Linked DNA regions of Daphnia pulex. The protein of the gene in region 2 binds, or shares a complex with, the protein of the main gene of each other region. Links are inferred from orthologs where the notes say so. Each region holds a gene or a part of one and is shown on either strand. Other genes may lie near its edges.

Evidence for each region.
Region 1: the proteins of uncharacterized protein LOC124198601 (region 2) and protein aveugle-like are in contact, whole or in part, in a crystal structure (PDB 8BW8), measured with the Drosophila melanogaster proteins. The link is inferred for Daphnia pulex from reciprocal best matches to the Drosophila melanogaster genes cnk and ave. Residues at the interface, in NP_001286524.1 of Drosophila melanogaster: Pro47, Glu51, Leu56, Arg57, Ile58, Gly59, His60, Gln61, Glu62, Leu65, Glu66, Glu69, Lys110, Ile111, Asp112, Thr113, Leu116, His117, Ile119, Thr120, Arg121, Ile123, Lys127, Val130, Glu134, Arg139, Arg145, Cys148, Gly149, Leu152; in NP_725413.1 of Drosophila melanogaster: Tyr24, Gln51, His52, Asp53, Ile54, Arg57, Ala58, Arg61, Ile62, Thr63, Ser66, Arg69, Met70, Glu79, Trp82, Arg83, Val86, Lys87, Arg89, Leu90, Lys91, Asp93, Ile94, Glu96, Ile97, Arg98, Met100, Glu101, Leu103, Asn104.
Region 3: the proteins of uncharacterized protein LOC124198601 (region 2) and dual specificity mitogen-activated protein kinase kinase 1-like are in contact, whole or in part, in a cryo-EM structure (PDB 8BW9), measured with the Drosophila melanogaster proteins. The link is inferred for Daphnia pulex from reciprocal best matches to the Drosophila melanogaster genes cnk and Dsor1. Residues at the interface, in NP_001286524.1 of Drosophila melanogaster: Arg46, Tyr48, Arg72, Tyr76, Thr92, Lys95, Asn96, Arg99, Arg103, His117, Arg121; in NP_511098.1 of Drosophila melanogaster: Arg200, Gln255, His258, Gln262, Tyr319, Val321, Asn322, Glu323, Pro324, Lys347, Gln348, Asp350, Glu351, Arg352, Ala353, Asp354, Lys356.

Annotation. Positions count from the first base shown.
Region 1 is NC_060021.1:9,511,846-9,514,546, forward strand, and holds protein aveugle-like, read left to right. Parts: upstream 1-1,421; 5' UTR 1,422-1,498; coding exon 1,499-1,564; intron 1,565-1,634; coding exon 1,635-1,748; intron 1,749-1,815; coding exon 1,816-1,989; 3' UTR 1,990-2,151; downstream 2,152-2,701. Other genes in the region: cadherin-87A-like, read right to left, coding at 222-261; spermine oxidase-like, read right to left, coding at 2,464-2,701. UniProt on the Drosophila melanogaster protein: Required for normal photoreceptor differentiation between Ras and Raf for EGFR signaling in the eye and for mitogen-activated protein kinase phosphorylation. Probably acts together with Cnk to promote Raf activation, perhaps by recruiting an activating kinase.
Region 2 is NC_060023.1:3,779,517-3,783,823, reverse strand, and holds the start of uncharacterized protein LOC124198601, read left to right. Parts: upstream 1-1,464; 5' UTR 1,465-1,820; coding exon 1,821-1,842; intron 1,843-1,906; coding exon 1,907-1,948; intron 1,949-2,013; coding exon 2,014-2,177; intron 2,178-2,241; coding exon 2,242-2,438; intron 2,439-2,500; coding exon 2,501-2,615; intron 2,616-2,678; coding exon 2,679-2,870; intron 2,871-2,940; coding exon 2,941-3,341; intron 3,342-3,410; coding exon 3,411-3,687; intron 3,688-3,885; coding exon 3,886-4,307. Other genes in the region: cytochrome P450 302a1, mitochondrial-like, read right to left, coding at 1-158, 229-466, 673-898.
Region 3 is NC_060027.1:2,195,081-2,199,296, forward strand, and holds dual specificity mitogen-activated protein kinase kinase 1-like, read left to right. Parts: upstream 1-1,415; 5' UTR 1,416-1,661; coding exon 1,662-1,828; intron 1,829-1,883; coding exon 1,884-2,118; intron 2,119-2,188; coding exon 2,189-2,301; intron 2,302-2,359; coding exon 2,360-2,471; intron 2,472-2,539; coding exon 2,540-2,716; intron 2,717-2,790; coding exon 2,791-2,989; intron 2,990-3,030; coding exon of another isoform or gene 3,031-3,052; coding exon 3,053-3,237; intron 3,238-3,303; coding exon 3,304-3,411; 3' UTR 3,412-4,158; downstream 4,159-4,216. Other genes in the region: 60S ribosomal protein L17-like, read right to left, coding at 45-248, 428-565, 746-880, 949-1,029. UniProt on the Drosophila melanogaster protein: Required downstream of Raf in the sevenless (sev), torso (tor), and Drosophila EGF receptor homolog (DER) signal transduction pathways.

The DNA.
Region 1 (2,701 bases), on a different chromosome or scaffold from region 2:
AAAAAGAAAAAGGAAGAATCGGTTGCTTTCTAATGAGATGTAAAAGAAAATCTTGGAGGATTCAAACAACTTGTGTGTAGGATTGGACAGAGAGTGATTGGCATTTCACGAAAGTAAACAGGTTGTTTCTCGACCCAAGTCTCGGAAAGACACATTTTCTTGAGGTTAAGTTCCACCAGAATCAACACAACGGAATCTAGAAAATGGCTATATTTTCTTACCTGAACAAATGGTAACAATCCACACCAATGACTGGAACATGGCGGAGTTTATATCCTTTTCTTTTCTTGAAGAAAGAGGGCCACTATTGCTGGATTAGACTATACGAAATGGACTCGGCTGCCATGGGGCGAAGAACGGCATTCGGGGTTAAAAATCGATTTGCTTGTCCGTTTGGTCAGCGTGAATGATGTCGTTGTCGTCGTGCTCAGTTTGTTTTTTTTGGCTTGTTTATTTGGAAGATGGCCTTGAGACCTTGAACTCACGAGGTCCCCCAGCCGCTAATAAAATGGAAGCTGTGTTGTCGAGACCTTGAAAGAAGAGGTAAAAAGAAGACGCACAACACACAAAAGTTATTATTACAGCCAACATAACACCGACTAAAGAACGTCATCATTTCCTACTTCTCACAAGCATGCTTATATAAGGCAACAAATGCTTCCAATTGCCGTCTCGACACTCTTCCGCTCTACGTGCCAACTTTTTTAAGAAAGGGAGAATGAACCTAGACGAAACTCACCGGCACTTTAGCAGCATCCACATTCAATTCTTGTGGCCCTTGAACCTCGAGTCATCTTGCTGACCACTTGAAACCACCTTATTTCCTCCTTTTTTTAAAGTCAGTAAACTTGATCACTATTTTGATTGAATCAGTAGAAATCCTGGTAAATTGGGGTTGAAAGGGCAACGAATCTCTTCTTGGTGACACTTGGAAATCACTATATCTTTTCGTTATCTTTTGAAATTCTTCTGCCAGCTCAAAGTATCCAACTTGCTCAGAAGACGCCAGACTAAGAAATGATTCGTCGTCTGGTGCAACTTTACCTGAGGCGCTTTACCTGAAAACTAGTAGAAAAGGGAAAGAAAAAAACAACATTAAACACATCCCTCGTTCGCTTGCCCCCCGAGGCAGTTAAGATAGATCAGCAGAACTTGAAAGTATTTGTGTAAAGAATAAGAAGTTTTTCAACTTTGATGATAGCCAATGGCCACATTTGTTTATTGATCTACTTTATTCTCAGAGACAGAGAAAAAGCCATCTACTAGTATTTTTATTCACGCATAATTTATAAGAAGAAGACCTCAGGTTATTATCACGAGGAACAGCGACGAAACGAAGAAATGGCTTGGGGAAGAAGTAATGAAATAAGACCTTGAATTGGTCGTCGACTCGGTGTTTTCTTTTCAAGGTAATCGTCTCAGCCGACAACGTCGCATTTTATGTCAACAACAAAAAGATAAACATAAATTTTTCTGCAACATTTTAGTTTGCGTTTTGATGCCATCTATAATGAAAGATATGAATACCAGCGGTGATAATCTTAATCCGACCAACAAACCTAAGGTACTTAACTTTCACTTTTTATTAATTATTATTTATTTATTTTTTTCATAAGTTTTTTTGTTAAATGCAGCCCAAAGCGACGCGACCCAAGCCAGTTTACTTATGGACCACATCTGATGTTCAAAAATGGTTTCGACGTCATTGCAGCGATTTTTACACAGTGTACAGTGACTTGATGATTCAGGTAGTTTGTTTTTATTACCATTTTTACACTGACAAATGAATTTGGCATAATTCTGTATACCCTGCAGCACGGTATATGTGGAAGAGCATTGTTAAGAATGAATGACATTTCCCTCGAGAGGCTTGGCATTCACAATGCAGATCACAGAGAAGAAATCTGGCGTCAAATTACAAAACTTCGACTGAAAGCAGACATTTTAGAAATGAAAGATATGGAAAGGCGTTCTGATCTTAACAACTAATTGTCCATAACTCCATTGAACAATCAACCAATTGTGTTCCACTCTTCACTGTAACAGTTGCTGTGTTATTTAGGTTTTATTTTGAATGCCAACTGATCTGGTCTGTGTATCTCTCGACTGATGGTATATAGTTTGTTTCTAATAAATGTAAATAATTTTGAACGTGTTCATTCTAATTAATTCAAGTTCTCTTTTACAGTTGCAGCCTTGTTAGATTTGAAGCTGATAAATGCTGACTGTTTAACTTAGATATTTCCAAGGAAAGAAATGATTTCTTAAATTTTTTTAAACTGTAAACTATGAAAATCAGTTTACAATCAGAAACTCTATTTGACCTTTAGAATGGTTGATTTATTTAAGGAACTCAACACTAAGTATTGAAGTTAATTAGAACAAGTTCATTGTCATACCTGGCATGAAACCTCATTATTTCGCATTACCTAACAACGAAGTCATGCGAAAATGCCATACCCACTACAGTTTGGCGGTAAAGTTTGTTTCCTTTACATGTTCTACGATTCTGTCAGCCTCACGCCAACCAGTCTCAACCGCTGCGTGTACGGTCGAGTAACGGTGGTCGTGGGTTGCCTCACCGGCAAAGAACAATCGAGCAGAACCGTTTGAATCGATGACCGGTTCGGCCAGATCCGATGGACAAACATCAAATTCTACACTTTTTTTGGATCGAAAACTGTAAGACCCACAAAAATGA
Region 2 (4,307 bases):
AATCTGGCGACGTTTTGTTCTTCTTAATTGAGATGGCAATTTGTTCTGCAAATTCGGATGAAATGCTATCAATACCGGGAATATATTGACGGATATTCTCCATCATATTTATTGGACGTTGAAGGGCTTGTCGTAAGCGGTACCATTCGGGTCCATTCCTGTTAATAAAAAAAAGAAACTAAAAATGAACTGCAATATTGTTTTGAATGACAAGGAAATTCATTTTACGTTGGAAGCAGACCCCCACTATTGTAGATGTGGGGTCTTTGGAGTCTATAGAATTCGAGAGCCGTATGACTTCGTCGTGATGGATAACGACCCTCCACCTGGTGCATCCGCTCAATGTCCTCCGGCCGATAAAGCAATAAAAGATTTACGCCAGGTAAAATTTCCTCTCGTACGATAGGGCCGAATTGCAGATACTTTTTCAATCCAGTAACATGCAGTTGGTCAAATGAATACTGTCCTGACCGTCAGAACCGCATATTAATTCAATCATTATTTCCTAGTGTGTACGCATTAGTATACGTAATTAAATTGAATGAACTATAATAGCACGGTAATGACATCCACCCAAATTCGAACAATAATATTTTCATTTTCTTTATTAATTCAAAAGATTTCATGTATTTTGTATTCATACTACAACTTCATACAATTTTCTCGTCTCACCTATGGCGTAACGCCAGATGTTTCCAACAACTGGAAGCGGTTTAGGACCCGGTATTGAACCAAAAGGTTTCATTTCCTTAGTCGAATCGGAAGTTGGGAATTGATGCGGACAGTTGTGGATGCATGTTGTTTGGTTAAAATAGTAAACTTGTTTGTCAACACATTTTTGCCCGCCGCAAAGTCGACTTGGAAGACATAGAGTCCAGGGTATTTGCTTAGAAAACATTTTAAATTTATCAATAACAGTTGAAATAGTTGTGACACTCTGAGAAAACTGACAAGTCTAGTCTGGAATACTTTCTATTCTGTGACAGGAAAACAGATCCATTGCCTTCTGTCAAATTTCCAAGGTCGTTCAATGGGGAGGGTCATCTGCGGACTAATACGCCTTCAAGCAATTGGCAACACAGCTGAACGGCAAAAGTTCATTCAAAATGATTAAATACTCTGTTGAATGTTGATAAGTAAACAATTCATTTTGATACCTTGAGACTTAATCGAATTATTTTATTTGGCGACAATAAACACGGGGAATGTAACAACACAATATAAATCGTAAAGCACTGATGAAGGACAGTTGTGATGACGACTGTGCTTGCACAAATTGATTTGATTTATTTCATTTATCTACTAAGCTAGTGTGAATTTTTGAATTGGAAATCCTTATCTTAAATTTCTAATCATTCCAAGTTAACCCTATCTTTTCCATAACAAGTTAACAACAACGGCTTCCAGCTTCCTCTGACCAGCCACTAGGACTAGGGAAAGCTGCTTCGCCAGCCAATCTATATGCTTGTCCCGGCTGTCTATAAGAGTGTCGCAGTGTTTACTGGTTTCTAGTACCCAGCGCCATTTTTATGCGGTGAGCAACAGCAAAAATGGTCACTGACTCATCGCTGCTGTAGTCTGCAAACGAAAAGAAGAAGCCAAAGCCCTAGGAGATGAATTGTGTGTGTTGATATGATTTCTTCATTTTAATTGATGCGTTTGAAATTATTCAGTTTTACTCAGTACAATGTCTTAGATGTAGCTGTAGGGCTAAACAATTCACCAAGGAACTAGATTAAACTTTGTCCTTCATGCAGTTGTTGTCATAGTGATACTTGATGATTAATTACTCCTTCATCAAAACACAACTTAAGTGAAAAATGACAGCCTATTATGTCAATGGTAATTATAAGTGAATGTTTTTTTATGTGAGGCCTACTGCCATAATTCTCTTTAATTAAAACAGTTGCCGAATGGAGTCCTGAACAGGTTGCTGACTGGATGCGAGGTATGATACAGTCTTATTACCATGTACAAGGCCATTCTAGATCGCAGCATCTTAAATTTTTACAGGCTTGGATGATACACTTGTTCCGTACATACACTTCATGCTCAAACAGGAAATCAATGGCCATAGACTCCTCTCCACGACAGTTGAAGATTTGCCTGTATTTCATATAGACAAACTTGGCCACCAAGAAATCTTCATGGGAGCAGTTGATCTTTTGAGAGATTTTGTAAGATGGACTTTAATCAAATAGTAGTTGATAAACATTTTCTATATTCATGTATTTGCATTAGCACTACAACTTAGATCGAGAAAATCTTCAGTATTTGGCCATGCAATTGGGCTGCAAAGCTAGAAGCCTTTACAATGAGCTAAGAATTATTTATCAGTCATTTGATAATGGGAAAACTGAGCAAGTGACAACTGCAACTCTTGCTGCAGTAGCTGATATCATAGATCAAGTTAAAGATCTGTTATCCTGGCTTGATCGGTGAGCATTTATATCTTTACTTTTAGTTTGCTTTCACCATTTAAATTTTTTCTGACATTTAGGACACCTTTTGACGGCCATGAACCATATTTAGAAGTTAAGGGCAATTTGCTTAAAATATGCCTTGAACTTGCCACAAATGCACAAAGGGATTTGTTTGCTGAACACCCAGTTCAGGTAGAAAACATTCAATAAAATTTCCTCATTGATGTTTAATGGAGCACTATGTCTGATAACTAGGTTATTCGAGAAGGCTGCATCTCTTTAGTCGGAATTACCGATAGAATTATCTGCGAATTTCTGGATCCTTTGGTATTACAACCAGCCTCTCTAGATGTGGCCACTATAAAGAAGAAACCAGAAGAAGATGTCGTGGTTATTAGTTCTCATTCAATTTCTAATAGTTTCGATGGAATTGATCTGTGGTTACAGGTGATTTCTTGAAAAGAAAGATTTATTTGAACAATTTGTGTTCTAATGTTTACAATTTTTATTCTTGCAGGGCATGCTTATTCAGACATCGTATAAAGGCGTTCATGTTATTGGGGCTGTTAAATTTCAAAGTCCAGCCCATCAATGTGGGAAAATAGAAGTAGGTGATGAAGTGGTACAAGTCAACTACCAAACAGTTGTTGGTTGGCAGCAGAAAAAGCTAAAAGCTGCTATGTTGGAGAATCCGGCTAAAGTGATCCTGACCCTTAAAAAGCGGCCTCGTCATTCGAACAATTTTGGACAAATCTACGTGAAGCCTTACAGGCTGCCAAGTAAGAAACGAGAGTCCTACCACTTTCGATGGCATCTAGGTGGTGACGGTCAAACCAAACCGGAGCTTACTTCTTCTTCCAAGGCCATCGACTCGATGTCTATTAGTTCTGTTCCAGTTGTGCATATTGCCCCACCAGTGTAAGCATTATTATTCTTTTATCTAGTTCTGCTTAGTTGACTTAACTGAATCATGTATTTCGTGAACAGAATGGCTGAGGTGACGGCTGCTGAACTCCCCTCAGAAGTGGAGAGCGACGATACTGACGACGACAGTTTCTTGCCAGATAATCACGATCCCGTCGCGGCCGCCGCTGCAGCTGCAGCAGTTGCTGCTGCCACGGGTTCGGATGCAGTGGGAGGCGCAACCGCTTCACCCGCTAGTGTCCGTCTCATTTTGCCGAAGAATAGATTGAGTATTCAGCGAAGGGCGACAGTAACGGGCGCAAGTCCTACTTCATCCCGCCCTGCTCTCAATATCGAGCAGGTAAATTTAAAACATGACACATCTAGTCTTTTTATCTTATCATAAGTCACCTTTATCATTAAACCTTCTACATTTTTTAATGCTTCCTTTACAACAGCAGGAATAAGGACGGTAAAGATGTAGATTTTTTGTGAAAGTTTTGATTTTTGTAGTTTTTGAAAATTGCTTGCTGAATTTTTTTATTTTTTTTTCCCCCAGTTTTGGAAAGAGTTGAAAGAAGGTCAGCAAAGTAAATCACCAGAGCTGCTCGACCTTCTTCGTCAACAGCAACAGCAGCCCGAGCAACGACCACACAGCAGTGTCGGCCACTACGACGGCCAAATTCGTCGACCACACATGAAAGAATCAAATATCAGTCGACAGTCAGAAACTTCTGCGTCCGATAAATCAGAGCTGCTGTTATTGCGAGAAAAGGAGAAGGTCAATGTTATTTCTTCAATGTTGATAGCCGACAAAATCAGTGAGGAACCGAGTGACCTATGTGTAGGGATCGACCAGTTTCAAAAAGACAACAAACAATGTGATGAAAATGAAGTAGAAATTCGGTCGCCGTCGAGAAAAGTATCCCAGGATCGACCGAGATTGGATAAGAGTCAAAGTACACCGACTTACGAATCAGT
Region 3 (4,216 bases), on a different chromosome or scaffold from region 2:
TTTCAGGCAACACAAAGGGTTAACAAAGTGTTTACAGGAAAAGTTTATTCCCTCTGGGACAACTTTTGGCGAGCCAACTTCTTCTTTGAAACCTTCTTTTTGTTGGTAACTTCCTCCTCCTTGACTTTGGAAACAATGTCTTCCTTCTCAGCCAGGATGACTTCCATGTGGCAAGGGCTGCTCATGTATGGGTTGATTCTTCCGTGAGCACGGTATGTTCGCCGACGCATGTATGGAGCACGGTTAATCTGTAAAACAGAGAAGTAATTTTAGACAACTCCTCTTTAAACTTGAAAATGAATTGACAATTCAATTTAAGTCAGATCCGTCTTGAAACATTGCAATCTGTCAGCTAGTAGTCTAGAATGCTTAGGGTTATAATCACACTATTTTGAAAAAAACTTTACACTATGATTCACTCCTGTACCTGAATGTGATCGATGACCAAGTGATCAACATCTAGACCCTTGAGGTCAGCATTGGACTCAGCATTCTTCAACAACTGCAGAAGGAACTCTGCAGACTTCTTGGGCCAACGTCCCTGGGTGGTACCCCATTGTTTAGCCTGCAAAGCAAAACATAGAGATTAGACTCCAAATAGTGGAAAGGCAACACGTTGAATCTTTCTTTAATGTCAGATCCGTCTTGAAACATTGCAATCTGTCAGCACTTTGTCTAGAATGCTTGGAGTTATAATCACACAATTTGGTCAATTTAATTCATACAAAAGAAATGAGCTACTAACCTGAGCACACCGGCCGACACCTCCGTTGTAACGACGGAATGGAACACACTCCTTATGCTGGATGACGTTCTTGAGGAAAGCAACAGCCCTCTTCAATGGCATACGCTTAATGGTGTTGGCAGCCTCCCTCGTGTTCTATTCAATCAAATTCAAGTCGTACGTTAAGAAACTTTCACAAGCGCGAGTATATGTTAAAACAATACCTTGAAGTGAACGCGGAGGTTGGAGCCCCTAGCCTTGCATGACTTGGTCGGGTTGTCCGGTTCACGCGAATATCGACCCATTTCTACACAAAATTGAACAGTTTAATGTAACACACGATAAAAACGTAATTTAATGGATCAACAAAGAACCACGACAAGTTAAAGATGTTTTAAATATCTTTGGATAACAGAAAGAGAACTCTCGTTGACTTACTTCAGAAGTGTTTGAGGGTACAAGAGAAACACCGAACCAAGAAAGAGGACTAAGGTTAACTCCTCTCTCTGCCAATAGGTGGATTCCGCTTCCATAGGGTGCGTTCTTAAATTTTCGTGAATATAATCAATTTTACAATTTTTAAAATTATTGTCGCAATTGTGAAATGTAAATATATTTATTATTTTTCAAAATAAAATAAATGTCAGTTTGCAAATATAATGGAAATGTGTGTTGAAATATTAAAAATTGCAACTACGGATTGTCCGAGGGTTGACTCTTGTCAAAACTTTTTCGCTGAACAATTTTGCAATTCTGATCTGTTGATATAGCCAGCCTACTTGTTTATTCGTGTTTGAGTTCCGCCAATAAGTTTTCTTTTGATGCATTTTTTTATATAGAGAAGGAACTGGAAGAACTTTTACTGTCATCATAAGCTGAGCGAGTTCATTTTAGTTGTAAAGCTTACGAATTTCATACATCGGAAACGAAAGGCAAAATGTCAAAAAACAAATTCAATTTAACTCTTCCTCCTGTGGAACCAGACCCAGTCTCCACCCCCAGTCCTGGAGAAACATCAGGAAGGAGTAATAACATAGCAGCAGCTATTAACTCTGCCAAATCAATGACACAGACCAGTAGTGTAGTTATACATTCTGGAATTGAGTAAGTTCACTATAAACACCAAGTTGTCATCCTCAATGATGTACATTTTTCACAGTAGCGGAAATACAACCATGGGAAATACAACATTAGAGGCTTTGCAAAAACAGCTGGAGGAACTTGATATTGATGAACTTCAACGACAGAGATTGCACAAGTTTCTCTCACAAAAGCAAGAAGTTGGTGAACTGACAGATGATGATTTTGATAAGCTTGGTGAACTAGGTGCCGGAAATGGGGGTGTAGTCACCAAAGTCAGACATCGTCCTTCTGGATTGATCATGGCCAGAAAGGTAATACCAACAGCAGAAAAAATTTAAGTGGTTTTTTTTTAACACAGATGTTTTATTTATGTTTCCCTAGTTGATACATCTTGAAGTGAAACCTGCCATTAAGAAGCAAATAATTAGAGAGCTAAAGGTGCTTCATGAGTGCAATTCACCTCATATTGTTGGGTTCTATGGAGCATTCTACAGGTACCTAATTTAAAACTTTCCCAAATGCATTTGTTAACTTTGGTTTAATTTTTTGTAGTGATGGTGAAATAAGTATTTGCATGGAATACATGGATGGAGGATCATTAGACTTGATCCTGAAAAAAGCGGGTCGTATTCCAGAACAATATCTAGGGAAGATAACAATTGCTGTAAGATGATCTAAAATTAATACTTAATCTATTAAAGGGTTCGAAATAAGAAAAGCTTTTTTGCTTAGGTTTTGAAAGGGTTGAGTTATCTTCGAGACAAACATCAAATTATACATCGCGATGTTAAACCAAGCAACATTCTGGTCAACAGTCGAGGAGAGATCAAAATTTGTGACTTTGGAGTGTCTGGTCAGCTTATTGACTCCATGGCTAACTCATTTGTAGGAACGAGAAGTTACATGTCGGTACGTCGTCTTTAAATAAGTTTAGAAAAGTCATTTTCACTTCGAAATACCATTAAAATGTATTTTTCTGCTAGCCGGAACGATTACAAGGAACACACTATTCGATTCAGAGTGATGTCTGGTCTCTTGGGCTGTCGTTAGTTGAAATGGCCATTGGCATGTACCCTATCCCCCCACCTGATCCACAGGTATTGGCCAACATTTTTGGTGCAAAATTCAGCGAAGATCCTGAGAACATGACTCCGTCTCCTAGCAGTCGATCGCCTCGACAAAGTAATAATCCATTGTTTTTCGCATTTCTTTCAAATGCTTAGAGATCCGTTCTTGAAACCGCAGGCCAATTTCCTGGAGGAGTCGGCAATGGCCCTAGGCCGATGGCGATATTTGAGCTTTTGGATTACATTGTCAATGAACCACCTCCCAAACTACCGTCCGGCGTTTTCTCTGTGGAATTCAAAGATTTTGTCGATCGGTGTCTCAAGAAAAATCCGGCTGAACGACCCGCTCTACGTACACTAATGGTCTGTTCCACAATTTTTTTTTTGTTTTTTTCTGATGTAGTTATTAAATCATTATTCTGTTCTTAGGGTCACGAATGGGTAAAAAAATGGACCTCTGAAAACGTGGAGATAGCTGGTTGGGTATGCAAGATCATCGATTTACAGCCTTCCACACCCACTAAACATCCCGAATAAATTTGTTTATTTTTTTTCTCTCCATCTGATAAACTTTAACAACTTTATTGTTAAAAGAAAGTCCATTTTTTTCTTCTTGTGCTTTTTCTAACTAAAAAAATCTTGGAAGATTACATTGGCGTTCACACACTATCCATCCAACAGTAGCACCCCAAGTCCTTGGGCTGGAAAATCTTCTGTTTCGTTTCGAGGATTCTATTTACTTGTCTACTCATCCGCCCAATTTACCACAGGGTAAGTGGATGTATTGTTTGTTTTGTTTCTTCTTTTCCAAATTTTCAGTCATAGAATTTCTGTGCGCTGCTGTGACATACGACGCGATCATACGCACAAAGTCGATCCAGCATTCTTCCAATGTGTATCTACTCTTTGTTTTCCCCGCCACACTCCAATCTTTTTGTCAAACCGTGAAGCTGCATAGTTAACAATCAAGATGAATTTTTCATCTTTGGTGTCAAGGCTTTGGAAAGAAAAGATGAGGAGGTTGGAATTTTCTTGTTGACGATTTTGGAGCGTTGTGGACTCACCCAAAACGAACATTCCAAGTTATCCTCCTATTCTTTCTTTTTCTACAATCTTCCTGGCCCGCGCCGTTTATTAGTTGCAATTTCTTTCTTTATTCTATTTCCCATCCCTTCTTTTAATGTATAGAAGAGAAGAAAAAAAAATCTGTGTCAACTCGTGGAAGAAATTGTCGCCATTGTGTGTGCTGTTGGACTCGGCAGAGTAAAGATGGTCCAGAGCTAATTGTTTAGTTTTTTTTTGTTTTTCTTTTCTTTGCTTTGAAACGAAGAATGAATGCACA